Cricetulus griseus: one gene and its partners. The protein of the gene in region 3 purifies or fractionates together with the protein of the main gene of each other region. This does not show direct contact. Links are inferred from orthologs where the notes say so. Each region holds a gene or a part of one and is shown on either strand. Other genes may lie near its edges. The genes, in order: Mtf2, Hmgxb4, Rbbp4, Arid4b, Eed, Sap130 and Nasp.

Evidence for each region.
Region 1: the proteins of Rbbp4 (region 3) and Mtf2 purify together in Homo sapiens (affinity purification with mass spectrometry; 4 studies listed by BioGRID and IntAct, with this or other methods). This does not show direct contact. The link is inferred for Cricetulus griseus from reciprocal best matches to the Homo sapiens genes RBBP4 and MTF2.
Region 2: the proteins of Rbbp4 (region 3) and Hmgxb4 purify together in Homo sapiens (affinity purification with mass spectrometry; 4 studies listed by BioGRID and IntAct, with this or other methods). This does not show direct contact. The link is inferred for Cricetulus griseus from reciprocal best matches to the Homo sapiens genes RBBP4 and HMGXB4.
Region 4: the proteins of Rbbp4 (region 3) and Arid4b purify together in Homo sapiens (affinity purification with mass spectrometry; 5 studies listed by BioGRID and IntAct, with this or other methods). This does not show direct contact. The link is inferred for Cricetulus griseus from reciprocal best matches to the Homo sapiens genes RBBP4 and ARID4B.
Region 5: the proteins of Rbbp4 (region 3) and Eed purify together in Homo sapiens (affinity purification with mass spectrometry; 10 studies listed by BioGRID and IntAct, with this or other methods). This does not show direct contact. The link is inferred for Cricetulus griseus from reciprocal best matches to the Homo sapiens genes RBBP4 and EED.
Region 6: the proteins of Rbbp4 (region 3) and Sap130 purify together in Homo sapiens (co-immunoprecipitation; 3 studies listed by BioGRID and IntAct, with this or other methods). This does not show direct contact. The link is inferred for Cricetulus griseus from reciprocal best matches to the Homo sapiens genes RBBP4 and SAP130.
Region 7: the proteins of Rbbp4 (region 3) and Nasp purify together in Homo sapiens (co-immunoprecipitation; 4 studies listed by BioGRID and IntAct, counting the BioPlex papers as one, with this or other methods). This does not show direct contact. The link is inferred for Cricetulus griseus from reciprocal best matches to the Homo sapiens genes RBBP4 and NASP.

What each region holds. Positions count from the first base shown.
Region 1 is NC_048600.1:2,837,604-2,841,737, reverse strand, and holds part of Mtf2 (metal-response element-binding transcription factor 2), read right to left. Parts: intron 1,271-4,134; coding exon 1,072-1,270; intron 958-1,071; coding exon 876-957; exon of another isoform or gene 872-875; intron 1-871. UniProt on the Homo sapiens protein: Polycomb group (PcG) protein that specifically binds histone H3 trimethylated at 'Lys-36' (H3K36me3) and recruits the PRC2 complex, thus enhancing PRC2 H3K27me3 methylation activity.
Region 2 is NC_048596.1:150,764,739-150,768,872, reverse strand, and holds part of Hmgxb4 (HMG domain-containing protein 4), read right to left. Parts: intron 1,484-4,134; 5' UTR 1,411-1,483; coding exon 1,380-1,410; intron 788-1,379; coding exon 639-787; intron 538-638; coding exon 459-537; intron 352-458; exon of another isoform or gene 237-351; intron 1-236. UniProt on the Homo sapiens protein: Negatively regulates Wnt/beta-catenin signaling during development.
Region 3 is NC_048595.1:23,704,411-23,708,544, forward strand, and holds part of Rbbp4 (histone-binding protein RBBP4), read left to right. Parts: intron 1-2,885; coding exon 2,886-3,031; intron 3,032-4,134. UniProt on the Homo sapiens protein: Core histone-binding subunit that may target chromatin assembly factors, chromatin remodeling factors and histone deacetylases to their histone substrates in a manner that is regulated by nucleosomal DNA.
Region 4 is NC_048596.1:237,301,938-237,306,071, reverse strand, and holds part of Arid4b (AT-rich interactive domain-containing protein 4B), read right to left. Parts: intron 4,019-4,134; coding exon 3,934-4,018; intron 1,399-3,933; coding exon 1,200-1,398; intron 1-1,199. UniProt on the Homo sapiens protein: Acts as a transcriptional repressor. May function in the assembly and/or enzymatic activity of the Sin3A corepressor complex or in mediating interactions between the complex and other regulatory complexes.
Region 5 is NC_048596.1:109,136,231-109,140,364, reverse strand, and holds part of Eed (polycomb protein EED), read right to left. Parts: intron 3,070-4,134; coding exon 2,917-3,069; intron 1,243-2,916; coding exon 1,150-1,242; intron 473-1,149; coding exon 407-472; intron 1-406. UniProt on the Homo sapiens protein: Polycomb group (PcG) protein. Component of the PRC2/EED-EZH2 complex, which methylates 'Lys-9' and 'Lys-27' of histone H3, leading to transcriptional repression of the affected target gene.
Region 6 is NC_048595.1:205,692,134-205,696,267, forward strand, and holds part of Sap130 (histone deacetylase complex subunit SAP130), read right to left. Parts: coding exon 4,024-4,134; intron 2,485-4,023; coding exon 2,360-2,484; intron 1-2,359. UniProt on the Homo sapiens protein: Acts as a transcriptional repressor. May function in the assembly and/or enzymatic activity of the mSin3A corepressor complex or in mediating interactions between the complex and other regulatory complexes.
Region 7 is NC_048595.1:35,762,799-35,767,706, forward strand, and holds the start of Nasp (nuclear autoantigenic sperm protein), read left to right. Parts: upstream 1-1,977; 5' UTR 1,978-2,100; intron 2,101-2,451; exon of another isoform or gene 2,452-2,525; 5' UTR 2,526-2,564; coding exon 2,565-2,623; intron 2,624-4,908. UniProt on the Homo sapiens protein: Component of the histone chaperone network. Binds and stabilizes histone H3-H4 not bound to chromatin to maintain a soluble reservoir and modulate degradation by chaperone-mediated autophagy.

The DNA of each region.
Region 1 (4,134 bases), on a different chromosome or scaffold from region 3:
AGAAAATAAACTTCATATACTCATCTCAAGAAACAAACCTAAGAAACATGGGAATTATCTTTACTTGTAAAATCCAAGTATACCTTTTTTACTATCAAATTTACAAGATTCCTGGTCTAGCTTAATTGCCCATGGTCTTCCTTACTACAAATTAAAAGTTTTAGCTTTTTCATCTTAGTAATACCAAAATGTTAGGCAGGAGAGACAGCTCAGTGGTTAAGAACACTTGCTCTCAACCACAAGTATGAGTTCAGATCCCAGGAATCACAGGCATTCCCACAAATACTTGTAAGCCCAGCTGAGGGTGGTGTATGCAGAGACAGGAGAATCACTGGGGCTTGCTGACATCCAAACAACCTCTTCTGGACTCTGTGGGCACATGCACCCATGTTATACACACACACACACACACACTCTCTCAAATAAATAATAAATCTTAAAAATACCCATCAAATATTTGCTTCAGCTGGGCAGTGGTGGCGCACGCCTTTAATCCCAACACTCGGGAGGCAGAGGCAGGCGGATCTCTGAGAGTTCAAGGCCAGCCTGGTCTACAAAGCTACACAGAGAAACCCTGTCTCTCTGAAAAACAAAAACAACAACAACAAAAGGATTCAATTAAAGCTATAGAGCTTTGTTTATAAAACATGGAAAGCGGAATAATTCTGCATATTGACATGTTTAGACCTCTCCTCATACATGCTACTGAGTCACAGAAAGAGTGTATTCAATTTCTTTAGCACCAGAAAATGCCATGTTGAATAAAGTTAAATTTATTTACACGCACGCACGCACGCACGCACGCACGCACGCACGCACGCACGCACGCACGCACGCACGCGCACGCAATGTTCAAGAGAAACAGTAGCACCTGCCTGTTTGGATGTCCTTCCAGAGAACCCAGGATTTAGAACTGTCCTCAAATATGATGAAGCAGCTCTGTTTCAGTATGTTTATCTGCAATACAGAGAAAGAACTCAGTAATCTCTTAAAACTATAAGCACAAGATTAAATTTTAAATTACTAAAAAGTATATTGCAAATACAGCAGAGATCTATTACAGTAACTTGCCTTTTTGATAGTTCCAAGATAAAACAAGCCATCTGACCATCTAGCTAGGACATCCTGACCCTCTTCGAATTTACATGCTGGCTTTTTGGCTTTATGTCCATCCTGTAAAGACAGCTTGTTCAAGGATGCTGGGGTCTTTTGGTTTCGACGTAAAGGAGACCGCTTGTGGACCAGTGAGTTACCTGCTCCTGTAGAGTCTCTATTCAGAAAATAAAGGACCAAATATAAGACTTATAAGAGTTTATAACAATGACATATTTCATACACTAACCAAAACTTTTAGTATAAAACCTTTGAGAAAAACAAATAACTCAAATGACAAATGCATTCTAAACCAAAGAGCATTAATTCATAATATTTGCTCATTGCCAACCCTAAGTGAAGCCAGGATTCAGCAGTCATTTCACCTAAACATATTAGGGTGACTATCTCAAAAACAACAGCAGAAAACAGCTGGGTACGGTGGTATAAGCCTGTAATATCAACATTTGGGAGGCAGAGCACAAAAGTTCCAGGCTGGCATAGGTTACTTAGAAGTTCCAGGACAACTTGAGGTACATAGCTGGAACCCTGCCGGGCCTTGGTGACACACTCCTTTAATCCCAGCACTCGGGAGGCAGAGGCAGTTCTGGGGTAGATGACAATGCTCTCATTCATGGCAGGAGTGATCCCTCTGTGAGAATCACTACAGAACTGTTCTTGTTGGAAGAGGGGAGGATATACCAATCTAAATATACAGACTTAAAACAGTTTTGCTTTGTTTTGTTTTAGTCAGGCAATGGTGACACAGGCCTTTAATCCCAGCACTTAGGAGGCAGAGACAAGCAGATCTCTGAGTTTGGTGCCAGCCTGATCTACAGAGAGTTCCAGGAGAGCAAAGGCTACACAGGGAAACTCTGTCTCAAAAACTAATAGTAGTAGTAGTAGCAGCAGCAGCAGCAGCAGCAGCAGCAGCAGCAGCAGCAGCAGCAAAGAGTTCTTTTTAAAAAGCCGGGCAGTGGTGGTACATGCCTTTAATCCCAGCATTCTGGAGGCAGAGGCAGGCGGAGCTCTGAGTTCGAGGCCAGCCTGGTCTACAAGAACTAGTTCCAGGACAGCCTCCAAAGCTACACAGAGAAACCCTGCCTCGAAGAACAAAAACAAAAACAAAAAACAAAACAAATGTTCTTTTTAAAAAGTGACAACTGAATCAGTAACAAGCTCAGCAGATAGAGGCACTGGCCACCAAGCCAGATCACCCGAATGTGATGCCCAGGGTTCACATGGAAGGAAAAGAACAGACTCCTGCAAGTTGTTCTGACTTACACATGCATGCAATGGCACAAGCATACACAAAATGAGTATTATAATTCAAATAGGAAACTTGGGATGTCACAGAGTCATCATCAAGTGAAATGTATGAGATTTTACTTTTTAAGCAGTGATCCCAAATAATAACTACAAAATCATTGTAGCTTATGTATTAGTAATTCTGTGAACTGTATGACATACCATCAATTTTTATATATTTTGTGTGTATTTTGCCTGAATTTATGTCTGTGCACCACATGAGTGGCTGGTGACGGGAGACCAGGAGAGGATGTTGGAGCTCCTAGGACTAGCTGTAAGCCACTTTGTAGGTGCTAGGACTCAAACTGAAGTCCTCTGGAAGAGCAGCCAGAGCTCTTAATTGCTGAGTCTTGTCTCCAGCCCCAACATAAATTTTCTTAAAGGACAAAGTAGTGTTTGGCTTCAGTGTTCCAATTTAAATATTTTACTGGTTAACATACAAGGGTGTGTAAAACTATACAGACAATATGAGAGCATAAAACTTCAAGGAGGGAGGGAAGGAGGAAGCAAAAGTGGGGAAAGTCTCAGTAGCTAAGCACAAAGGAAAGTTATATTCAATGCCTAAAAATGACACAACTTCTGAGAATCATGCCCATGCTACAGCATGGGATTTTGAAGACATTACACTAAGTAAAACAATCCTGATAAACCAGACAAGCACTGTTTAATTCTGGTTGTATGAGTACATAAAACAGTGACTCTCATAACAAGTAGAATGGTGGTGGCTGTGGGTAGGAGGAAGGACCAAATGTTTATGGGTACAGAGTTTTGGTATGAAAGAAATACATTTTAAAGTTGATGAGAAAGACACACCTTTAATCCCATCAGAGACAGGAGGATCTCTGTGAATGTGAGGCCAGCCTGTTCTACAAAGTGAGTTCCAGGACAGTTAGGGTTATTACACAGAGTAACCCTGTCTTGAAAAACAAAAACAAGAAAACCAAAAGTTGTCCAAAAAGAATTAACAATGGATTATCTTCCTCCTAAATTGCTAGAAAGTGTTAATGTATACAAGAAACTCAAAACATACAAGTATAGTCATTGTAAAGAGTCACTAAAAAACGGAAAAGATAATCTTCAAACCAACAAAGAGAGCTGGAGATGTAGCTCAGTTGGTAGAGTGCTTGCCTAGCACAAACAAGGCCCTCAGTTCTATCCCCAACTCCATAAGACAAAAATAAAAGAAAGCTACGTGTAGGTATACACCTATAATCCCAGTACTGAGAGGGTGGAAGTTGGAAGATCAGAAGTTCAAGGTCACCTTCAACTACACAGGAAGTTTGAGGCCAGCCCAGGATATGTCTAAAGTTCTGGGATCTTGCATCCCTTATGTAACAGACCCAAACTTGAATAGCATAACTAAGTATGAAAAGTAAGTCAGCAGAATGTTCCCTAATTCTGGAATGGAAACCATACAATCCAAGTGGCAAACATTCCCAGACATCTTCATATGCTTTTCTACGATTTCAACACAACCTCTCCCTTTTTTGTGACTCTCCACTGTATTACTTCTCTTACAAAGCACACATTCTTAGATCAAAACATCAAACTTTATAATTTCTCATTTCCTAGTGTTTCTTCCCTTCTTCTGAAATTGCTGATGTACTTTATTTGGTAACAAGAACCCAACCCTAGTAATAGTTACACTTATCCTTTGACCTTATTTTTTCCTTCCTGTCCACAGTCAAATCTCTAGAAAAGCTATTAAGCCCAGCACATAGGAGGCAAAGCCAG
Region 2 (4,134 bases), on a different chromosome or scaffold from region 3:
TTGCAGATGGAGGGTCATTGGTTCTTGTGCTGAGGACAAACTCATTCTAGTGAGAGGTTAGTCTCCTCAGCTACATGTAGAGCATAGCTAAGAAAACAGGTTTTGTGAGTGGATATATGCTGGCTGAGAAATGCCCCACAGATATGCAGAGGGCCCAAGGACTGCATCTGGCAAAGGGATGCTAAGTAACAATGGCACAGATAAGTGGATGATTCAGGGAGGAAGGAACCTGGTACCTTGTGTATCACAAATGAAGACTGTTCTTCTATGCTGAATCCTCCAAAATACCAGCCCTCCACCTCTCTCCTCCTTCACACTGGTTTATCGGCACTCAGAACAAGAACCACTGTCCTGTTAAATAGGCCACTGAGTCAGCAATATCTGGGATCCCTTCCCATACCCCGACTCCAAGAACCAGAGATGTGCACATCCCACCTGCAGCCCGCTCCCATTCTCACCTCCATAACAGTAATCATCAGGGCAGTGCTTCCTCTTCTTCTTGTGTGTGTCCGTCCCCAGGAAGAACAACTCACTGTCCTGTGGTTAGAGAGGGAGAATTGGCCAGCAATAAGATGATGAGGTAACGGTTTGGGGCTGCTCTCCTGGGATCCTGGCTTTGAAAGACATCTGGAACTGACCTTTGACTTCTTCTTGGAGGAACTCCTGACCTGTGCAGCAACTTCTTCCTCTTCCCTTAAGAAATCTTTGTAAGACCGCTTCTTTTCTCGTTGGCTTCGACCAGCTGCAAGTCCTATGTCTTCAAAGCTGTGATCACCATCAAAGCAATCTGGGAAGCACAAATTCATTTAGGGATGGAAATGACTAAAGTACATAAGCAACAAGTAAACACAACAGTCCCATTTCCAAGTTAAAGTTACACTCAGTGAGTCCTCTGAAATGCAGGGCTAAACTCAGAGGGCCAAGACGACTTCTGATGACCCGGCTTCAAACACAAGACTCAAACCCGAAAACACAATGCTTCCATGCTATGCAAATGCCCAATGTGCATCCTCAGATATGGTTTCTTAGTAGTGAGTGATTTAGCAGGTAGACACAGACTTGCGAGGGAAGGCTGGAAAGTGTAAGAATTCATGTGCTGTGCTGTGGGAGTCCAATGTGAGAGAGGTTCCTAGTCCCAGACTCATGCACACTGGAGCTGGCAAGGACTAAGAGTGCTGTGGGGATCACCCCAATAAACTAAAAGATTCTTATTTCAGACTCTGGTGTAGGAACCCCTGTCCTGGTTTTCATTTCCATGGGCCCAGTCTGGGAATGATGGAGCATCACTTGGTCTAGGCTGTGGTACCCAGTCTTGGTCTCTACATCCAGGGACTGCAGAGGTTATGCCCTTTGGGATGCTTCTGAGTAAGGGGTCATACCTTCTTTCTTCATGGAGTCATCATAAGCCATGGTGGTCCTGCAGGGCCTTTGTGAATGTGTTGGGTCACTGTGTCCAGGCTCCTTCCCGTCTACAGGACCAGGTCTGAGAAACAAAGAAGGAAAACCTTCCTGTAATGTGAAATCACTGTGGAGAAGCAACCTTCCAGGTGGAAATTCCAAGTAATCCAAGGGCTGACTGGAAGGAACACAGGAGTATCTTGTCACCTCCTCAGTCCGTGCATATACTGGAGTTGACCTTGCAGGGAGACTGCTAAGCTTAACTGGATTTAATTCATGTATTAAAAGTTGACACTTGAAGAATTATAGAAAACACTTCTTAGATTTAAAAAAACTTCCAAAATTAATGAGAATTTCTGGAATGCCAACAGGACTAATGACACTGAGACAGGGTAGAAACTGACGTTAAGTCAGAGGCATGGGTTCAACCATGGTCACAGGATACACAGATAAAGCCAGATGCAGAGGAGGACAGAGTACACCAAATACCGGAAGACCACAAAATCCTACTGAAGAGACTGGTGAGCCAATAGAATTTGCTGTGTCATAACTTAAACAGTACCTATACAGATATTAATAATTTTAAAGCCTTGCATTCTGCTGGGCTTTATGAACTTGTTCAAGCTCACTAAAATGGACATGGGCATACTTCTCAAATTTGTTGGCTATATGAAAACTTCCAACACTAACAAGCCTTTTTAAAAGAAATGCCATTTATCCACTGATGATGAAATTATGTTAAGATTTTTCACTAATTTATAAGTAATATAATTTAAAAGTTCTAAGTACTGGGTTTTGTTTTTTGACACAGGGTCTCCCTGTGTAGCCCTGGCTGGCCTAGAACTCACTATATAGACCAGACAGGTCTGGAATTTATAGAGATCCACCTGCCTTTGCCTCCTGAGCGCTGGGATTAAAGGCAGGTGTCATGTTATATAGTTCTAAGTATTGTAGAACCAAAGTAGTGGTTCTTTGTTGGGTTTTCTTTCTTTTTTTCTTTCTTTCTTTCTTTCTTTCTTTCTTTCTTTCTTTCTTTCTTTCTTTCTTCCTTCCTTCCTTCCCTTCCTTCTTCCTTTCTTTACTTTCTTTTTTTGTTTTGTTTGTGTAGACGGGGCTTTTCTGTGTAACGGTCCTGGCTGTCCTAGAACTTGCTTTATAGACCAGGCTGGGCGAGAACTCAGAGATCTGCCTGCCTCTGTCTCCTGAGTGCTGGGATCCTTAACCTATGGGTTGTGACCCCTTTGAGGGTCACACAACTTTTACAAGGGTCATATAAGACCATCGGAAAACACAACCATTTACATTAGGATTCATTTCAGTAGCAAAATTAGTTATGAAGTAGCAACAAAACTAATTTTATAGTTATAAAGTTATTTTACTACCACATGAGGAACTGTCAAAGCATTAGGAAGGTTGAAAATCACTGCTATAAAGCATTTTGGGGCATTCAAGTTCAGGTGTCCATAGTGACTTTGAAGGTGACAGAGTTACATACTGCACTGTAAAGTAAAATTCTTAAATTACCCTAAGGACAGAAAGTCTTTGAAGAATTTTTCTTCTTCTTTTGTTTGTTTGTTTGAGACAGGATTTCACTATGTAGCTATGGTTGGCTCAGAACTCACTTCTTTGCAGAATATTTAAAATAACTATTTTGAAAATGTTTTCATTTAGTTAGTCAAATGCTTAGAATTACTCATTATTTAAGATTACACATTTCTAAGTCCTGCAGATAGGTATGGAGAAAATGAAATATATTTGGGGGTGGGGGGCCCCTGGGTTAACAGGGGAAAGTTTTAAAATTTAAAATTTAAAAATTTAACAGTTCAAAATTTTTAGTGAGGCATGGTGGTGAATGCCTTTAATCCCAGCACTCTGGAGGCAAAGTTTGGTTGTTCTCTGTAAATTCCAGGCCAGTCTGGTCTACATGACCCAGGACAACCAGGGCTCCAAAGTGAGAACACCATCTCAAAAACAACAACAAAAAAGACTTTTTTGTTGTTGTTTAAAAGCCACATAAATATAGTGCACAGGTAGGCCAAAGCTGAAAACACAAAAAAAAGCAATGCCAAGGTTTCTAAGTCTAATAAATACAAAACACAAAATGAAGAATGAATTTGCTTCAGGTAAGGGAAGCCAGAGTGAAGTAAATAAACAACATGAAGTGGATTATTTAAAGAGAGCTGGCACACAACTTGCTCAAAGGGCCTTCTCATGCAATAAAGGGTGAGGATGTAGGGAGAGACCTCATGTAGAATGTTAGGATGTGTGTGTGTGTGTGTGTGTGTGTGTGTGTGTGTGTGTGTGTGTGTGTGTGTGTGTATGTATGTATGTATGTATCATGTCATCAGTTTTTCCTGTTTCAGCCTTAAATTACTATATTTCTTAATTAGAAACTGTTCTTCACTTCCTACCCAGTGGTGCTGACTTAAAGGGGAGTGAAGGTGGATCACTGGGAATGATATTTTCACCAGGTCATGCATGATTTTAATTCCAGCACTCAAGAAGGGAGAGGCAAGTGGATCTCTGCATTTGTGGCTAGCCTGGTCAACATAGTGAGTTCCAGGGCAGCCAGGGCTATTTAGGGAGACCCTGTCTCAAACAAATGAACAATGGCAACCTTTTCACTAGTAAAAAATGATGAGCTTATTTAGAAAGCCATACTGATCAACTTTGGCTTTCACAGGCTGATTCCAAGTAGAATAGCTTTAATTGTAGTTTCAGGCTTTTCACACCAGA
Region 3 (4,134 bases):
TCAGGTGTGTGTCACCTTCGCAGAAAGACTAACCATGACCAGCACAGGGTTTTTGTTTATTTTCTGTACCTGGTGCCTGGGGAGACCAGAAGAAGAGGGTGTCAGATACACTGGAGCTCCATTTCCAGACAGTTGTGTGCCATCATGTGGGTGCTGGAAACTGAACCCAGGTCCTCTGCAAGAGCAGCAAGTGCTCTTTTGCTCCATCACCTGCTCTTGGCTTTTTAAGGAGTTGTGTCTGTTTGTTTGTTTTTGTTGTTGTTTTGTTTGTTTTTTCCTTAATTTGTTTTGAATTTATGTGTGTGCATATTTTGTCTGTTCGTGTATGTGCAGTGTGCATGGGTTTACTGAAGCCAGAAGATAGCATTGGGTCCCCCTGGGTCTGGATTACAGACAGTTGTGCCTCCGTGTGGGCACTGAGAATTGAACCAGGGCTCTCTGAAACAGCAGCCAGTATTCTTAAGTGCTGGGCCATCTCTAGCCCCAGGGAATCATGTGTGATCTCAGTATTTTCTGGTAGGAATGTATGTAGCCCAGCTGTAGGTGCTTACCTGCATGTGTAAAGCATTAGTTTGGGCAGGTGTTACAGTAAATGAAGCGATTATAAGGACCACATTTCAAACCTCAGCACTGGTATATAATGCCAGGTGGCCATGGCAGCACACCTGTAATTCCGGGAGGCAGAGGCAGAGGCGGTCACTGAAATAAACTAGCTATGCTAGCAAAGCCAGTGAGTTCTGGGTTCAAGGTAGGTTTGTCTTCGGTCTGTCTAGAGGAAAGAGGTCAAGAGACCCATTGTCAAGTTGTGGCTTCTGTTTACAAGCACACATACGTACATACTGGGAGGAAAGAAAGAGAAACCCAACTCTAGATTCTGAGGGGGTCCCTGCAGGTATCCTGGCAGGGAAGTGAACCCAGCAGAGATAAGAATGAAAACTGCAGGTTGACTTGCCAACCTGGATAAGACTTCAAGGAGTCGATTGCCAGGCAGTTCATTATCACCATATTTAAAACAATACAATTGGGGGAAAGTTTCCAGGCAACAATCAGTCCAATTACATGTGCACAATAAAGCATAAAATGTAACTTCATAGAAATTCTTTACAAAGTACATGTGAACATGAAGCTAAACAAAAAGACCTGGAATCTAGTGTGGTCTCTGACCGATAGCATAGAGGTCAGCAGGCCATAAAATACTGGTGACCTGTAGGATGGGTCTGGGGGGGAAAGAGTCTGGAATAATCATTTGGGGATTTAGGGTGAGATCTGTCCCTACAGATAGCAAAAGGGTCATTGTGTCATTAACCTCCACTCTCAGCTTTCTGGACGCAAGTATTGAATTTGTATCTCCTCCATTGAGGAGACACCCCTGTGAGAGTAACATTCCTGGTTCTCATAATGCTTCTCTGTGCCCCCTGCAAGGTTCTAGGGGGAACTACAAAAACAAGAATCATCCCTACTTCCAAAATGTTTGAGGCAGTGTATTCAGTAGCTAGCTCTGTAGACCAGGCTGTCTTAACTTGCAGAGATCCACCTGCCTCTGCCTCTGCCTCCCAAATGCTGGTATCAAAGGTGGGTGCCACCACCACCTACCTAATATTTTTCTTTTAGGGGATATAAGAACTCTTGCACATGACCAGGCACAAACTCTACTATTGGGTTTTATGCCCCAAAGTTCTTGATAAAAACAAAAATATCAGGCAATTGTTTTCTTCTCACCCATTGTTAACTCACTTTATTTCAATAAACTGGGAGAAAAAATTCTCTATCGTGTTTTAAATTTTTGGCCATGTTAAATAAAAATTAAGTTCTGTGCTTGTGCCCTGTCTGGCCTTAATAGAGGGTCATTAAAAGTAGGAAATAAGCCAGGCAGTGGTGGCACATGCCTTTAGTCCCAGCACTTGGGAGGCAGAGGCAGGCGGATCTCTGTGAGTTCGAGACCAGCCTAGTCTACAAGAGCTAGTTCCAGGACAGACTCTAAAGCCACAGAGAGACCCTTCCTCGAAAAACGGAGGGGTAGGGAATAGAGGCTAGCAAGTTGACTAGGTGGGTAAAAGTGCCTATTGCCAAGCTTGACAACTTGAGTCTGGTCACCTGGATCCATGTGATGGAAAGAGAACAGATCCACAAAAGTCTTCATTTGTTTTATGAAGTGTGAGTGTTCAGGGTCTCCTGGAGCTAGAATTTCAGGTGGTTGTGGGTCACTTAGCATAGGAGCTAGGAACTGAATTCAAGTCCTCTGTAAGAGCAGCAAGCACTGTTAATTACTGAACCATCTTTTTGATTGTGTGTTTTTTGTTTTTTAAAGAAAACAGGGACTTTAGTAATGACTCAGTAAATAGGAACATGTAGTCAATCCACAACACCACAAAACAAGACAGACAAGAAAAAAAACAGGGTGGTATATGCTTGAAGCCTCAGTGATGGGGATATAGGAAATAGGATGATCTCTCAGGCTCAACAACCAGCCATGCTTACTTAGTTGCTGAGCTCCAGGCCAATAAAGCAAGCCTTATATTAATGGAGGTGAATAGCCTCTTTTTTGATTTTGCTTTTTCGAGAAAGGGTTTCTCTGTGTAATAGCCCTGGCTGTCCTAGAACTCATGTAGAAACTCCTGCCTCCTGAGTTCTGGGATTAAAAGCCTGCTCCACCACAACCGGCCATGAACAGAATCTTAAGAGTGAGTGACACTTTATTGTTCTCCAGTATCCATTTATATGTATGTCTATTTAAGCACGGGGGGCTGGGTTTTGTTTTTTAAAGTAGGAACTAGTTCTCACTATCTCAATTGAACTGCTTGGGGTTTTTTGTTTGTCATGTGTATGTTGCTGACTTTATGTTATCTTGGGTTGCCAACTTGAATAGTGACCATCTGTTATTACAGGCCTGAAGGAAAAGACTTCAGCATTCACCGGCTTGTCCTGGGAACACATACGTCAGATGAACAAAACCACCTGGTGATAGCCAGTGTCCAGCTTCCGAACGATGATGCTCAGTTTGACGCATCTCACTATGACAGTGAGAAAGGAGGTAGGATAAAAGAAGTAATGGTCTGTGGATTATATGTTTCCTGTCTGAATTGTCATCGAGGAGGTACATAATTGGGCGGGGGTAGCCTCTTAGGTTTAAGTTATTGGGAAAGCTAGTTTGCAATCAAGAGTCATCAACACAAAACTCGGTTCTGTGCTTTTGCTGTAAGCTGTCTCTACTATACTGGTCATGGTGAGATTTCTGCAGTTAATGTAGTAAAGATCTACCATATTTTTTTTGGTGTGTATTCTCAACAGGAGCAACATTGACCCAAAGAGACAGAAATTAATTCATGGGTATGGGTTGGTGTTTTGCCTGCGTGTATGTATGTGCACACCTTGTGTGTCTGATGCCCACATAGGCCAGAAAAGGGTGTTGGATCCTCTGCAGATGGAGTTATAAGCATTTGTGAGCCACCAAGAATTGAACCTGGGTCCTCTGCAAGAGCAGACAGGTGCTCTAAATTGCTGAGCCATCTCAAGGAGGATCACAAGTTACCCGCCAATTTGGGGCTAGTTAGTGATTTCCCTAATTCAAAATAGAAACCATAGTCTGCATGGTCCCCAGAGCTTTCAGTGTATCTGTACTACTGCAGTTTCATTGGGGATAAAGGGGCAGAAAGTCTTAAAACTTTCTTAAAGGTTTAAGATACAAGAAATGACATAGTACCCATTATATTCATAAAAGATTTCAACAACCTAATTCTTAGAAGATGCCATAAGAGTAGCTGTTCATGAATTCCTTTTTTCAGATAGCAATCGGTAAATTTTCTTTATGGCCTTCATACCAAAACGTCAAAAGGGGGGGGGTCAGTAGGGGAGTTTCCTTGAATAAAACCCTGTCTCAGACAAAACAGCAAAAAAAAAAAAAAAAAAAAATGGGCTTCTTTTATTAACATTTGTGCTCCTTATATTCAGTTTTTAATGTTTCTGGATATTAGCAGAAATAACTCTTCATGTTTAAGTTTATTTGGGATCCAGCTACTGGCTAGGATAACAGTTGTGTGTGTGCTATTTACTTGCTGGTCGTTCCACATTGCATCTTCGGTGGTACAGAGTGCAAAATTGGTTGTTAGGGTAATAGTCAACTACAATTCTGTGTGA
Region 4 (4,134 bases), on a different chromosome or scaffold from region 3:
AAATTGAGGCTTACATTAAATGTTCACTATTGTTTTTAAAATAAACAATATCTTATTTAGGAGTATACTCATAAATAATTAAATCCTACTTTTTAAAAAAATGTTACATAAAGTTAAGGTAGTAATAACTCCTGAGGAGGCACACCTAATTAACTGCTACCTGCTCGTGACTAAAGTTGTCTAATTCTTGTTCTTTAAACTATATTTTTTCATATAGTAGTCTACATGTCAGATACATTAGAAAACTTTTAAGGCAAACTTTAGAATAGTATATAGTAGCAGGCTTATATAATGAATCCATATACAGTCTTCTGAAATAAAGGAGAAAATCTAATTTCTATTATAGTCAAAAGTAATAAAAACCAAAACTTAAGTTATGAGCAGTTTAAAATATTTTTAGGGAAAGGAATTAATTTACTTTGTAGATCAGATCCCTGTTCCAATACATTTTCATGCCAGATTTAATAATCTCCAATTCTCAAAGCTTTTTAGATATAGTTTATTTAGTATTTTATATGGATGAATGTTTAGCCTGGATGTATGTGTGTGTACACACACCAAACGTTTGCCTGATGCCCGTGGAGTTCAGAAGAGGGTGTCAGATCCCCTCCACTCTGGAGCTAGATGGTTAATGAGGTGTCATGTGGGGGCTGGAGATTGAACTCAGGACTATGCCAGAGCAACAAGTGCTTTTAACTACAAAGTCATCTCTCCAGCCCAGTTCTCTGTTACTATTTGCTTCACTATTACCATGTGTGCTACCATAACAGCATCATAAAAAGAACAAACAAGCAGATGAGTTCTTCACAAATAACTTTCAGAATTGCTTTACAGTCTTAATACACAGCACAACTATGTTTTAGACAGCATCACAAAGGACAGTGTTTGACAAGAAGTAGAGAAACCCAACACTGGAGGTGCCCAACTAATAACACACACAGCAAATTCTGGTCAAAAAACCAACCTGAACTACTTTTATAGAATTTAACTTTTGGAATTTTTTCTGGGTGGCAGGAGGTAGGAATACGTGGATTTTTTTGAGACACTCTCTTGATTTATTACTCAGGTTAGCCTCAACTCTCAATCCCCCTGCCTCAGCTCTGAGTACTGGAATTACAGTCATGCACAACCACATTTAAATTCATTTAAATATTTATAGAAATTAAAATCAAATACTTGCATGCAACAGTTATATTTACCTTGTAGTCCATTAAGAATGGAAGTAATTTCTATAGATTTAATATGAGCTGTATCGGAGTTTTTGGCATCAGCAAGGTCTAGTTTTGAAACCATCTCAGGAGATGGATTTGACTGAAACGGTGGTTTTGACAAACGTCGAAGTTTACAGTTCTTTGGAGAGTATTTTTCATCTTTGTCTTTTTCTTTGTCTAATTTATTCTAGGTAAGTAAAGCATTAGATATTAGCTATAATGTATTATGAACAACTTATTAGTAACAATATTCATTCTATTTTAAAGAAACATCAAATGCCTATTATTATTATTAATATTATTAAATGTTTAACTGAGAAAGAATACCAGAAAATGCAAAAAGAAAAACTTCAAAATAATCAGGTTTATTTTAGGTTATTCATGAAAACACTGAGATGAAAAAATTGTTCTGTATTTACAGTCTAGCAGTAGGGATCAAACAGAAAAGATGACTAAGAGTAGGAACTGAGTATTGCTAATAACTGCTACAAATTCTTGAAAATTAAATAATAGATCCAAATTTAATATTTATAAAATTAAACACTCAATTTCAACACTCATATTAAAATTGAACATTCTCACTGTAAAGTACAATAGCCAAGTTCTGTACTTTGAAATTTACAGGAGAAATTACATGCATTGACAGGCTGTGAAGTGAGCTCAGAGGCAGCCTTCCTACCTCACTCAAAGGCTGATACTTTTCTCACGCTCAGTTAACAAACAAATGAGTCAAGGCTAAGGTAATTCCTATAAGCAATGTTTTTTGTTGTTTTGCAATTTAGGCTCTTCACAGTATGACTTAGCAACAAAAATTCTTAAGTCCTATTACATAGACAGACTGAAAACATGAGTGATTATTTTCACAAGTCTCTAAAAGATAGTACATGGGAAAAATACTCCCTTACATGTAACAGTTAAAATTTGGGTAGCGGCTGTTCTCCAAGTGGGGTCCTTAGCCAGCAATTTCTGAGAACTTGCTAGAAAAGCAGACCCCTAAAAACAAGATGAATCAAAATGCTGACAATGGAACCAGACAGCCTGTTTTAATGTGTTCTCCATGTTATCTGGTACATGTTTCAATAATAAGGATCAAGGGACTGGGCCTAACTTATAGAACATCTTTAAAAGGGCAGGTAGACTACCACAGCCTATGTCTACTGTTACTCCCATCATTTCAGCATTTCATGACTTGATCTCAGAAATCACAATGTACCATGTGCACCAAAGGCTGAAACAATTCACTTCAGTCTAAGTTCAAATATATTTTTTAGTGGCTGTCAAATGAGTTTCTCCAACAAGGGCTCTTAAAGAAAACTGGGAGGGAGGGAGGAGGGAGGGAGGGAGGAAGGGAGGGAGGGAGAAGGAAGGAGGGAAGGAGGGAAGGAGAGAAGGAGGGAAGGAGGGAAGGAGGGAGGGAGGGAGGGGCAATACCAAAGAGTAATGCATAATAAAACTTTAAAAAACTTATAGTTCTCAAGCCTCTTTCCTTATGACCAAGAATTTTAACATGTTTAGTTTAGTACCAAGCAGTGGACAGAGACAGACATTCATAGAACATTTCATGTGCATGACCCAAACATTGTTTCTCTGACTCATCTACTCAGCAATGCTATTCCAAAGCTTGCTTTGTACAAAGACATGAATTTTTAACAAACATTTAGCAAATGTTCTTCCAGTTACTAAAAACAATGCTAAATATAGCATAATTTACATACTTTCCAATAAGGACCAACAAAAAATGTAAAGGGTTTAAGAAATCCTGAGCTTTAGGTACTGGAGTACTGTACTAGAAACTTAGACTCAAGTTTACAGTGATAAAAGGATTGCCAACAAGATAAATAAATTCAGCATCTGAGACCACAAGGGGTCTCTAAACAGGAACATAACAATGTTTCATTGGACTAAGAAGACTTCAGAACCACTACTAAGCATGTGAACTACACACAAAGTATAAAAAACCTTCTTAAAAAGATTAAAATTTTGCGGGGCGTTGGTGGCGCACGCCTTTAATCTCAGCACTCCAGAGGCAGAGGCAGGCAGATCTCTGTGAGTTCAAGGCCAGCCTGGTCTACAGAGCAAGTTCCAAGACAGACTCCAAAACAATACAGAGAAACCCTGTCTCGAAAAACCAAAAAACAAAAAGAAAAAGATGTTAATGGCCGGGTTTTTTAATAAAATATTTAAAATATTTATCTCATAATTAGTAATAATCCTATCATGTTAGTAGTACAGTTTCACATATGAGAACATAGATACTATAGTAGCTATGCAGTGTGTGGTGAAGAGGGTGCTGAAAACATTCTGACCCAGTAGCCAGTCAGATATAGATGAAGAGATACTCTCCTCTATCTTTAGACATCTCCTCTCCTCACCTTACATCTACTTACAACTCACATCCCCTACCTGCAATGCATGATGGCTCCTAGTTGGGAACTACAAGAGACAGGAAAGGTTTAAATGGATAAATTTTGTCATACAGTTTTATACAATGTTGAGAATGAAAAGGCCTCCAATATCAGTTAGCACTGTTCCTAAAACCTTTTCACCAGGTGACAAAATTAGAGCAAAATCTAACATCTGGTAAAAGTGCGTTTCAAGAGAAGATAACATCAGGAGTAGCACATGCATTTAATTGGCCTTTTTTTTTTTTTTTTTTTTTTTTTTTTTTTTTGAAGGAAAATGCACTTAACAGCTAATGGTGCATGGTAAAATCAAGGCTTACCTTTATTTTCTTCCGATGTTTTATCTTTGGTACATTTTTGTCAGCAGGTCTGACTATTTTATCTGCTTTAATCCATTCATCATATCTAAAATGAAAAGAAATGAGCATAAATATGTAAGCTACATGTCTCAGAAGGAACTATGCTATATTCAAATAGAAAGCTCAAATATTGAGTCCCAACATCTTACAATTTCAAAGGCT
Region 5 (4,134 bases), on a different chromosome or scaffold from region 3:
TGCAAGCAAAAAACTCTATATACAATAATAAAATAAATCTTAAAAAAAACAAAACAAAAAAAAAAACACTACACTGAAATTGTAAAATTCTAGGCTTAGCTGGTCCCTGCTGACAATTTCTACCATGGATTTCTAATGGTCCCAACTCCACTCGTCTTGTACCCACCATCACATTCACCTCATGACAAATTCAAGATCAGGTACATGAGATACTAGGATTGATCCCCTTGGGTAACAATGATAATATTCCTAGCTAAAGAAAGATAGGACAGTATATTTGTAGTTTGAGGCAAGCCCGGTCTACAGAGCTACACAGAGGAAACCCCGTCTCGGGAAAAAAAAAAGTTTTAGTGTACTTATCAAACTCAATGTTTTAAACCATACAAAAGCAGCGAGAGAAGGATACATCAGCATCTACATAGGACTGCAATAACCGGATTTCCCCTTGTGAATGGCACTCATATAAGGTAACCTAAAGAAACAAAAATATGCATATCATTTCAGAGAAAGAAACATTCTCTGACTCTTAAAACATTCTAGCCAAAATTACAACTTAGTGACATTACAAAAACTGCTTGCAGCAGCTCTGTAAGCTTATCCAAACCATTATAAATCCTCACACCTTCTATGTGATACTAGCCTGGCAATAGTAGTTTCTATTTCCAAACATTTAAATATACATTTCATCCATATAATCAGAACTTTTCCAAAGTGAGTAAAGTTAAAACTTTAAAATAATTACGGTTTATTCTTCTTTAATTAAATTTGTAACAAAACATCTTCAGTACCATGAAATGATTACCCCTAGCAATGCATGCACACAGAGCACAGATAAACATGCAGGCAGCCTACTGACACACATAAAATGAAACTTTAAAAATAAAAGTACAGCTTTCATATTTGAATGGTAAATATAAGTCAATTCTTCTTGCGATTCAAAGCCTGCTTCATAACAAATGTAAATAAAAATGTATTTTCTAGTCGTATTAGTCTTAACCCTGACCATTCCTCAAAAGCTTCACTCTTACACAAAAGAATTATACTGGTAAGCCAGCTATTCAGAATTTACTTTAAAATCACTCCATTTCAATATTTTAATTGTAACATGCGAAATAATCACAATTGCCAACCTGCCCCCCTAACACTCACTCTGTTGCTTCCCACAGTTGCAAACACCAGAGGATCTCCTTCCTTACTGTGCCAGTTAAACTGAACTCCAAACAATGGCTGGTTATGATCTTCCTAGAAAATCATGAAATAAGAAAACTTTAACATATTTTCAAAAACATTAGCCAACTTTTACTTTCCCCTCCCCAAATTAAGTCCACTTCTTATATACGGTGGTAGTTTGAATAAGAATAAACCTATAGGGTCATATATTTGAATGCTTAGCGAATAGCACTATTTGAAAGGATTAGGGGTTTGGCTTTTTAGAGGCAGTAAGACACTGGAGGGGGTGGGCCCTGAGGTTTCAAAAGCTCATGCCAGGCCCAGTGTTCTTGCTCCTCCCAGTGAATCCAGATGCAGAACTCTCAGCTACCTCTCCAGCACCAGGTCTGCCTGCATGCCACCATGTATCCAGACATAACAATAATGGACTAAACCTCTGAAACTGTAAGCAAGTCCCAATTAAATGCTTTTTTTTAAAAACAAGGTGTCATGATGTCTCTTCACAGCAATACAAAACTAAGACATATATCATGCACATGCTACTTATGACATTAAAATGAAGACACTACACAAGTGTCCACATCTTAAAAATATGTGAATGTTTCCTAACAAAGATGCACACCATAAGTTAGGAAACAGATAGGTATCCTGGGAACCCTGGTTTCTGCCTGTTTTTAAATCCAACCATCTTTCTGAATCATAATAAATTGAGAACTTTTGGTAGATACACTTTAAGCTCTTGAGCCCAGAGGACACGGTTATTTCTCTCATATAACAAACAACTGGCTTTGGATTTTATTAGAATTAACTTTTCCCTTGGAAAGTGGGACATATCACCCTCCATCCGAGCCACTACTCTTATTAGTCCTATACAAACACATTTACATTATCTTGTGAAATCTTTAAATAACTTTAGATTCATACCAGGCAGTGGTGACATACACCTTTAATCCCTCCCAGCACTCGGGAGGTAGAGGCAGGTGCATCTCTAAGTTGGAGGTCAGCCTGGTCTACAGAATTCCAGGACAGTCAGAGCTACACAGAAGGCTTGTCTCAAAAGAAAACAACATAAAAAACTCCACCTTGGATTTGGATCATAGGAAAGTGTCATCCTCTCAAGACTGAACAGTGAGGACTCAGGGAGGGAATGAACTATGCCTTCAGATACACAAAGGGAAAGCAATCTGTAAGATACTTTTGTTTCTTTTGTTTTATTTTTAGTGCTTGTACTAAAACCAGGACTTAAACTGCATAGTAGACAAGCACAGTACAGGGTTGTTCACTTTTGTTTTCCAAGTTGCAGTTCAGACTTAGAGCCTTGTTGCAATCTCCTTGTGTTTAACACTGACTTTCAAGTTCCCGTGAAAGTACTTTCCCCCCACTTTTAAAGTCTTCTAGCTTTCATTTTCTTATCTCTTAAAAATCCAGGCTTGCATGGCAGTGGTGGCCCAAATCTTTAATCTCTGAGTTCAAGGCCAGCCTGGTCTACAGAGAGTTCCAGTTCCAGAATAGCTAGGACTATATAACAGGGGGGGTGGGGGGAGGTAGTAACACCAGCCTACAACTCAGTATTACACATTTAAAGTGAAGCACACAATAAATAAAGCTCAAATGACTAAATGTATGATAGATTGTAATATCCAGTTTAAACAAACCTTTAAAATACTGTAATTTTAAAATATTTTAAACCTTAGGGTATTCTGTATGTCCCTTAGAAGTTCGAAGCCTAGTGCTTTAGGTACAAACCTTGAGGCTGTTCACACATTTGAAAGAATATTTGCATTTCTTTGACTTCCATTTTCCCTTCCCCCAGCTTTTCCTTCCCGGTGCATTCGGTGTATTTGTAGGCGTATCAGGGCGTTCTGTGTTTGTGCCACTCTCGATACTGACAGCATCATCCTGCAACCAGTAAAATCAGGAACAACTTCATCAGACAGATATAGATGCACACAGTATTTAAAAGTAACTGACTGTACTACTAAAAAGATAATGACTAACTTAAAAGCATGCAAAAAATGGGACACATACTCCTGCAGCTGGGGATTTTAAGAAGTAAAACCCAGTTATGCATTAGACCACTTGTGGATATTTTATACTGCAGTGAAAGTAAAAACAAGGTACTAAGAAAGATAATGAAAGAGTAATTTGGGCTTTAAATAAGACACTGGCCTATACCAGTGACACTAATATAATTCATCATTCACTCTTACACAGCTCTGTGGAAAAGCCACTACCAGACAAGGAAATGTTGAGTAAAACTGTCCTCTTGCTGGTACAGTTACTAGGATCCAATACTTCACTAGCACATAAAATAACAGAATAAATCCAATAAATCTGGTTACCTTCAAAATTTAATTGACTACCTCGAAAGTGGAAGAATGAGTGTAGACACATGGCCTTTTGGGGCAGGGATGCTAATGCTTACTATTTTAGATGCCGTTTTGAAAAACAAAATCTGTCATGCAAATTCTATTTATTTATAACACAACAGATTTAGAATTTTAAAGAAGTCCCACCTAGTCCATACTATGTGTAAATGCAATTTGATTCAGTTTGAATACTACTATGCGCATATCTAAACTCTGTACACGGTAATCTGTTTAAACATAGATAAGGTTTCAGGAAATACAGAAAATTCTTCTAACTTATCTTCAGTTCAGAACCCATACTTAAGTCTTCTCTGGAATACAAAGATCCCCACCTATTACCCTGGGGCAGTAATCCAGAAATCCTCCAAAGGAACCCTTTTGTCAGTGTGTCTAACAGCTGTGAGGTTGAAGTCCACTAAGTCTACACTGCATTTGTATACAATCTATTTCTAGGGTAAAGCTTACTAAAGATTGTTCCATTTATAAAAAGTTAAAAATGAAGTGTCAAAGGGTATTTTAAAACACTACTTCACTTAAAAACATTAGTTCTTAAGGTTTTAAAACTTTACATTGGTCCAAAATGAAATGCCTTTTA
Region 6 (4,134 bases), about 180 Mb from region 3:
CAAGTTCTCTAATATTTTATTATTAAATAATAAAGTGGTCAACCCCCCCCCCCCCCCGTGGCAAAGGAAAATAAAATTTCTTTTGTTTGAGATTGGGTCTAACTATGCAGCTCAGCTGGCTTAAAACATGTTATATAACCCAAGCTAGCTTTGAAATTACTATCCTCCTGCCTCAGCCTCCTGACTGCTTTGTGCTGGTGAAATCAGTGTTAGCAGTGAAACAGGATCTGGACTAGTTCCAAGGGTTAGAAGCAAAGGATTTAGGGTTAAACTAGGAACTGTAGTATGGGTTAGTAGAGTCCCACAGGGAACATGCTACACCCCAGAGGAGAGGGGCGTTTTTCCATTCTGAGTGGTCTGATTGTTCAGTGGAGTTACAGCAGGTGTGACCCACCTGACATGCATAATGATAATAATCCCACTCCCGTCCTTTGGAAGAGCTGTGGTCATGGTGGGAGGCATCATGTCTGATTTGAGTTTAATTTTGATTGGAACAAATCATTTGTGATTTGTTCTTTTTATAGTCAAGGCAATACACTGAGGTAAGAGGAAATTTCTAAAAGACCCAGTGTTCTATGTAACTTTCTTGGCCACTGCTTCTGTTCTCCCATTCAAGATGGATCACTCAAAATGACAGTACATTCCCAATTACAGATCCTTGATATATATATGAATGAATGATAGGTCTTGAAAGTAGAGTGAGGAAGGATAATAGCATAGGCGTGATTTAATGTGGAAAGGAAACTAAAAGGGACAGAAGATGTAAGTAGGAAGGGAGGACAGGGGAGAAGAATAAGGAAGATCAAAACCAAACTAAGGCGCTAGGGAGATAGTTCTGTGAAAAAGCACAAGTTGTGTAAGCACGAGAAGCTGAGTTTGAATCCCCAGAACCCACAAAAAAGCAGATGTAGCCTGGCCATCTGTAACTCAGTGCTTCTACAGAGATGGAGACAGAGACAGCAGAACTGCTAGAAGATCATGGGCCAGCTGGTCTGGTATATACCGAGAAGAAAATATCTCTATATATGCTGCGGTGTATACTCACCCATTCATTCACAAATGTGCATGTGTGCACATATACATGAATTGTGTGTGGGAAAAGCCATAAGACAAGCTATTACCTTATATGTTATTTATTTGTTTGTTTGTTTGTTTGGTTTTTGGTTTTTCGAGACAGGGTTTCTCTGTGGCTTTGGAGGCTGTCCTGGAACTAGCTCTTGTAGACCAGGCTGGTCTCAAACTCACAGAGATCCACCTGCCTCTGCCTCCCAAGTGCTGGGACTAAAGGTGTGTGCCACCAACGCCCGGCCTTTATATGTTATTTAAAAACAAATAAAGGGGCTGGCAAGATAGCCCAGCCATTGAGAATTCTGCCTGTTCTTGCAAAAGACCAAGGTTCAGTTCCCAGGATCCTCATGGTACCTCACAACTATCCATAACTCTGGTTCCAGGAGATCTAATGCCCTCTTCTAACCACCGCAAACATCAGGTACGCATATGGTGCACATATAAACATTCATATCCATGAAACAAACAAACAAAAAAATCTAAAAACCAAAACCAAAATGAATTATGGCCATAAATTTTGGGATTAGGATAGAATTTCCAACAGTTTTGCAAATGGCCCTAAATATACTTCTGTCATTCTGCATATTTATATTATATAAAGTGGCACTCTCAGCATTGACAATTATAAAATCAAAGTATCAACCAAGTCTGTAAAATGCTGAAGATGCTGCCAGTCAAAGATGTGCTGGGCCAAGATGTAATTCCTTATGTAAAGATAAACAAGCACAATTCTTTAGTAAATGGTAAAATCAGTTCACTTTTGTCTTTAAGATTTATTTTTATTGCCAGGTGGTGATGGCAGCACATGCATCATTTAATCCTAGCACTCAGGAGGCAAAGGCAGGCATATCTATATGAGTTAAAGGCCAGCCTGGTCAACAGAGTTCCAGGGCCTGTCTCGAAAAAACCAAAAGAAAAGAAAAAAGAGAAAAGATTTATTGTGTGTGTGTATACACTAGGCTCTGGAGAGATGGAGTTAGAGGTGGTTGTGAGCTGTCCAATGTGGGTACTGGGAACTATACTAAGGTCTTCTGAAGCACAACAAGCATTCACTCATTCATTTGCAACAAGTACTCTTAACTGCTGAACTATCTCTCTAGCACCTTAAAAGACATTTTGTTAGGATTTATTACTAGTAAGTGTTTGGTTTCTGTACTTATTTTATATACCTATATATCCAGGGTCATGTGAAAATCTCTTGGATGATAAAAGTTTAAGAAGCCCTGATCTAGAGTACAATTTAGAAAACTCATTTGAGGTAAAGAGGGAAACAGCAGGATGGCCCGGATACCTTAGTGCTGAGTCAGCAGCATGTGCTGCTGTCGTAGTGATGACAGGAGACTGAGCTCTGGTGGCTGAGACTGTTGCTACCACAGCAGGAGGGATTGTACTGGAGGTGGTCACAGGTGGGCGAGACTATAGGGGAGAGAAAAAATACTTCAATTAAAGCAAAAAGCAAAGTAACAACACCAAACCAAATACTAAAACTCCATTTTGAAACTCAGGCCTCCAGATGAGTAGGTCTGTGACTAGATGGAACCAAGTCCTTAGCACCCTAATGGTTTTTCTAGGTATGTTATAAGACAGGTCAGAATTACACACACACACAACCTGCCCCCCCCCCAAGAAAATGTGAGCTAAGCCTGGGCTACCTACACTACCTCACATATACCAAGAAACAAAGGGGTGGGGGTGGCGGTGGGGGAAATAGATGTCAGAGCAGGACACATGCAGCTGAGTGGAAGACAGGCAAATACAAGGGTCTGGGTTCGATTCCCAGCACTGCTAAAAAGGTAGGGAAAATTCTTATTTCATACTGGGTGTGGTGGTACAAGTCTTTAGTCCCAGCACTCAGAAAGCAGAGGCAGGTGGATCTTTGTGAGTTTGAGGCCAGCCTGCTTTATGTAAAGAATTGAGGCCACCCAAGAGTACATAATGAGACTGTTCCAATATAAACAAAAATTCCTATCTTGTTTGGATAGTCTAAGACTTTTTAATACAACTATAGTAAAAGTACTGTCCTAGTGTAAACTAGGATTTAACTGTTTTGCTCAGCATTCTCGTGGTTTACTATGGTGCAGAGTGGACATTCAAAATGTCATATATCCAAGTGTTTTCCACAGAGGGCCCATGAAGCTATTGGCTGGAGTTGCTGGCTCTCAGTCTAAACTAGGATACAAAGGGCAAGGGGATGACAGACTTCTATGCTGGCCAGAGTCAAGGTGTTCAAAGGGGGGCAATGTCAGGTGTTCAGGCGCTTTCTACATTTTCATACAAATATTTAGTCCTAACCTTTATTACTACATCTGTGTGTAAAACGTGAAAAAGGAGCCCCCCAAATGGCACCGATCATTTGTCCACTATACCTATTCCTATCACCTGAGTCCTGATTCACCCCTTTTCCTGACTTTCATAGATGCAATTAAATCACCACATCCTGCCCATCCTTCAAAAAGTACTGTTTTACACTTCCTGTTTCTCTGTGTAACTCTGGCTGTCCTGGAGCTCTCTCTCTATACCAGGCTGGCCTCGAACTCACAGAGATCCACCTGCCTCTGCCTTCTGAGTGCTGGGACTAAAGGCATTCGTCACCACAACCCGACAGGCATACATTTATATGCATAAAATGTACATAAAAATTTGAGGTGTTCACAGAGCTCTTTCCAAATAACAATCCTCCATCTTAGCTAGCCCTCACCAAACACTATCTATAGCCACCACTGTCTGTCTTCCTTGCTACTGTGCATGGCCGTCTTTATTTTTCTAGCACCTGTTGTCTCACTTGCTACTTTCCCAACAAATTATTATTATCCCTGCACTGTTCAGGCATCCTTCAAACTCTCCAAAGCCTTGAGTAGTAACTCAGTTATAGGGTTATGGGCTCCCTCAGTGTCCGGCAGAGTAAATGGTAAAACACCACAGCCATGCTGGCCAAGTACCCCGACCCCAACATGCCTGGATTGGCTGGTGAATGAGGTGCTGTACTGCTGGCTGTGCTGTAGCAGCATTTGGCAACTGTGAAGTTGGCCTCAGGACTGTGGTTACTTTAGAGCTGGACATCACAGC
Region 7 (4,908 bases), about 12 Mb from region 3:
TTCATTACAATAGCTATGGCCATCCTGGAACTTGATATGAAGACCATGTTGGCCTCATCCTCCCAGGGATAGTCATGCCTCTGCCTCCCCAGTACTGGGATTAAAGAAAGATGTGCCCCTACACCCAACCCTACACCCAATTTCTTAACAGCACACCAGTCAGGATTTAAAACACTTTTTTTTTTTTTTTTTTTTCCCGAGACCAGGCTGGCCTCGAACTCAATGAGATCCGTCTGCCTCTGCCTCCCAAGTGCTGGGATTAAAGGCGTGAGCCACCAACGCCCAGTTTAAAACACATTCTTATGACTTTGTTTTAACTTCGTTTTCTTTTTGAGACAGGGTCTCACTCTATCTCATTCTGGCTGTGTCAGACCCTGTCTCTCTCTCTCTTTTTTTTTTTCGAGACAGGGTTTCTCTGTGGCTTTGGAGGCTGTCCTGGAACTCGCTCTTGTAGACCAGGCTGGTCTCGAACTCACAGAGATCCACCTGCCTCTGCCTCCCGAGTGCTGGGATTAAAGGCGTGTGCCACCAACGCCCGGCCAAACCCTGTCTCAAAACCCCCAGAAACGGGTGTGGTGACACTCAGGTAGCACTTGTGAAGTGGAGGCAGGAGGATCAGGAATGCAAGATCATCCTTGGCTATGTAAAGCTGGAGGCTAGGATCAGCTATATGATACTATCTAAAAAACAAACAAAATCCCAGTGCTCAGGGGGCAGAGGCAGGCAGATCTCTGAATTTGAGGCCAGCCTGGTCTACAGAGCAAGTTCTAGGACAGCTAGGTCTACACAGAGAAACCCTGTCTCAAGAAACAAAACAACAATAAGGGTTCCTGATTTAAATATCTTATCTTGTTTAACATTAAAAAAAATTTAAAAAGCTGGTCAGTGGTGGTGCACATCTTTAATCTCAGCACTTGGGAGGCATAGGTAGGCAGATCTTTGTGAGCCATCAACGCCTGGCTTCCTGTACATAATTTTAAAAATTAAAAATATTTGAGACAGGATCTCATTATGTTTCTTGGTTGTCCTGGAATTCACTATATAAATCAGACTGCCTGGAACTCAGAGATCCCGAATGTCTCTAGAGTGTTGAGACTAAAGGTGTTTGTGACCACACCTGACCTTTTAAACAAGTTATTTTTATTATTATTATTTAGTTTTGTTTTTCAAGAAATGGTTTCTTGCAGGGTGGTGGTGGTGCATGCCTTTAGTCCCAGCACTCGGTAGGCAGAAGCAGGCAGATCTCTATGAGTTACAGGCCAGCTTGATCTAAAAGAGCTAGTTCCAGGACAGCCTCCAAAGCCACAGAGAAACCCTGCCTCAAAAACAAAAACAAAAAAGGTTTCTCGGTGTACTCTGGTTGTCCGGAGTCTAGCTTGGTAGATCAGGCTGGCCTTGAACTCAGGGAGATCCACCTGCCTCTGTCTCCTGAGTGCTGGGATTAAAAGCGTAGGCCACCACGCCCCACCAAAAAAGTTATTTTTAAAAGATTCCACTTTATTTTATATGTGTGAGTGCTTACTTGCATGCATATACGTGAACCATGTGTGTGCCTAGGGCTTCTGGAGGTTAGAGGACGACACTGGATACCCTGGAAGCGGAGTTACTGACAGTTGTAAAATAAGATGGGTATGGTGGAGCTCACTTGTAATTTCAGCACTTGGGAGGCGAATCTCTGTGAGTTAGAGGCCAGCCAGGGACATAGTGTGAGTCCCTTTCATATGTACTAAAGATAGAAGTAAGATAGCTAAAAAATTTAAAGTGTTTTAAGTACAGGGATTCAGCTCAACAACTCAGTGTTGGAATGTGGGTAGGGTGTCAGATGAGGGCGTCACTGGATTGGGCCAGCCAAAGGCGCGTGGATCTAGAGAGAGGAGGAAACATCCCTACTCCTTTGCCCCTCTGAGTTTTGAATCTAGCGCGATAGTTTCATCTGTAGCCAATCGTAGAGCAGCACCTTCTTTCGTCAGTAGTTGCTGAGGCCCAGAGCCACGAGTCTCTCGGGTCAGTTCTAGCCGTTGCTGTTGTACTCGTGCTCGGCTCTTGCGTTTCCATCCGTTAAGACTGAGAGGGCATACAGAAGACCTGTCACCTTCTCGGGTATCCCCGCCAGAAAGAAACCCTCGGCTACTCTTTCCACGCCCGCAGAGACTCACTGGCTCCACTTAACGTGGAGGCTCTGGCTGGCTCCATCAGAAGTTGTAGTGCCAAGATTCTGGTGCTTCTAACACGGCCAGCTACCGGGAGCAGGAAGTTCTTTTGTTGTTCGATTTTCTTTTCTTTCCAAGGAAAAGCGGGCCCGGGCGGGAAGATACCCAAACGGGAAGGGCTGCGGGGAGGTGTCCTTGTGACGGAGAGGTGTTGAGTTCTGGCCCTTTAAACCCAAGGGGGAGGATCCGGAAGTGGATGGGCGGGGCAAGCGGCCCCGATATATAAGAGGGCCCCAACCGCGCGGGGTCTCCAATCTGCCATTTTCTGTGCCTGAGTAAGTCTTTGCTGTCCTGAATTCTCTGTTCTCTCCACAGGCAGTGCTCTGCCCACCGGCCCACCGCGTCAGGGGAACGATGGCCACAGAGTCTACAGCCACTACTGCCGTCGCCGGAGAGCTGGCTTCCGCTGACAAGTAAGCCGGACTGTGGCGAGCGGGAGGCGCTGGCCAGTCCGTGGGGAGAGCTGTGGACTGGCTTCGCGGGCCGGAGGGCGGGCGGGCGGCGGGCCCGGCGGGGGGGTGGGACAGCTGCCTTTCCCTGGAGAACTGCGGCTGTCCGGAGGGAGCGGGGCTGTGGAGAAGCCCCCCCCTCAGGCGGCGCTGGCGACCGGCGCTAACGGCGGGCGGCTGGCGCCCCCTGCCCGGCTTTCCGCGGCCGCCATCTTGCCGGGGGCAGCGGCGGCTGTCTCCATCGCCTGCCCTTTTTCTTCCTCCCCCGGCCCGGGGCTGCCGCCGGTGGGGAGGCGGGGCCCCCCCGTCGCCGGTCCCCTCTTGAGCTCTTACTCTCGGCGCACTAGCGGGAGAGTCTGTAGAGGAATCTAGAAAACGACCAACAGATTTGGCGCCAAAAGAAAAAAAAAAAAAAAAAAACCTACACACGAGGATTGAGGCTCAGACCTGAGGGACCCGAGTGGGCGGGGCCTCGAGGAGGGCGGGACTTTGCACGCGTGCGTTCCGTGTCCCGGCTCTGGAGACGGGGGCGGGGCCTCGAGGAGGCGGGAAAACTCCATTGTTTGGGGTTTGGAGCGGCTCCTGCGGCAGCCGCTGGGCGCAGTGAAGTTTATCTCGTTGACTGTGTAGTTGACTGTAACCCGCGGGGTCGTTACGCGACCGAAGCCCTGCGACTCTCCGCTTTTGCTGAGAACCCTCAGGGTGTCCTTAGACTTTCCGTGTGTGGGTCGGAGATTTGGTTGCTCCAGGGGTCATTTTCACACTGATGGCTTCTTCGGTAAACGCTACACGGAGAATTCCGTACTTGCTAGATGAGTCTGCTAAGATAAAAGGACCCCCCCCCCCCCAAGAGGGAATAATTGCTTTGAGAGCTTCACAGTGCTAATCAAACATGAGCTACTTTTTTGGATAGTGCACAGAAACGGCCCATCATTTGGAGGAAACAAGTTTTCCGTACAGTAGGTCCTACTTTCCAATCTTCCCTTGTCTTTTAGGTGCCTGCTAATATTTTTTTTTTAATTTATTTATTAGTTCTAGTTAGGGAACAAGCTTGTTCACATGTAAATCCCTTCTCTCTCTCCCTCTCCCTCCCCTCACCCCATCCCTCCTCCCCCACCCCCAGCCTACCCCCACTCCATCCACCCACCACTCCCCAGGCAGGGTAGGGCCCTCAACGGGGGGCTCTGCAAAGTCCACCAAATCTTCCTGTGCCTGCTAATATTTTTTTCCGTCCCTGTACATTTTAGAAGTTTTTCCTCTGGTAAAAGTAAAGTTGGCTGTGGGGTTTTTGAGTGTTTTTTTTTTTTTTTTTTTTTTGCTGTAGGTTTAGGCATACTAGTTGACTTTTCAATTAGTACAGTTGTACCAGATATTAACGTATCTTTGCATACTTTACCTGTCACCTTTTGGTTCCTTTTCTAGTGGATTCTTGAAAAGCAGTGTTTCTCAAATCACCAATTTCCTGCCTCCTCATTGATTTCTTAGGGCCAGAGTAGCTTGAGTTAGGAAAATCTGTAGAATTTATTTATTTCAAGACAGGGTTTCTCTGTGTAACAGTCCTAGCTCTCCTGGAATTCTCTTTGTAGATCAGGCTGACCTCAAACTCACTGAGATCCACCTGCCTCTGCCAGTTTGGCCTCGAACTCTGAGATCTGCCAGCCTCTGCCTCCCAAGTGCTGGGATTAAAGGAAGGCCTGTACCACCACAGACCGGCTTTGTTTTTTGTCTATAGTTTTTATTATTATTATTATTATTTTGAGTCAATTAAAAAAATGTTATGGGATTGGAGAGATGGCTTAGCAGTTAAGACCACTGGCTACTCTTCCAGAGGACCTGAGTTCAATTCCAAACAACCACATGGTGGCTCACAGCCATAGTGGGATTTGATGCCCTTTTCTGGCATGCATAAAGTTGTACATACCAGGCTGGTCTCAGAGATTCATCTGTCTTTGCCTTCCCCATGCTGGGATTAAAGACTTGCACCACTACCGACAGGCATATAACGAGGGCTCTTAACTGCTCATCTATCCATCTTCAGTCTCATTAAGTAAATTCTTATTGACTCACATGACTATAGTGTGAAGTCTTAAATTTTTCTACACGTCAGAAAAGTCAAGTTTAGAATGGAGAGATTGTCAAATTATTATTTTGAGTTTTCATTTCTTCAATTTCCATGAAAAATCTTGTCTGTCAGGAAATTGTATAATGAGTTTTTGAGAAAAGTAAAGACAGAATGCTTCAGTAAAGTA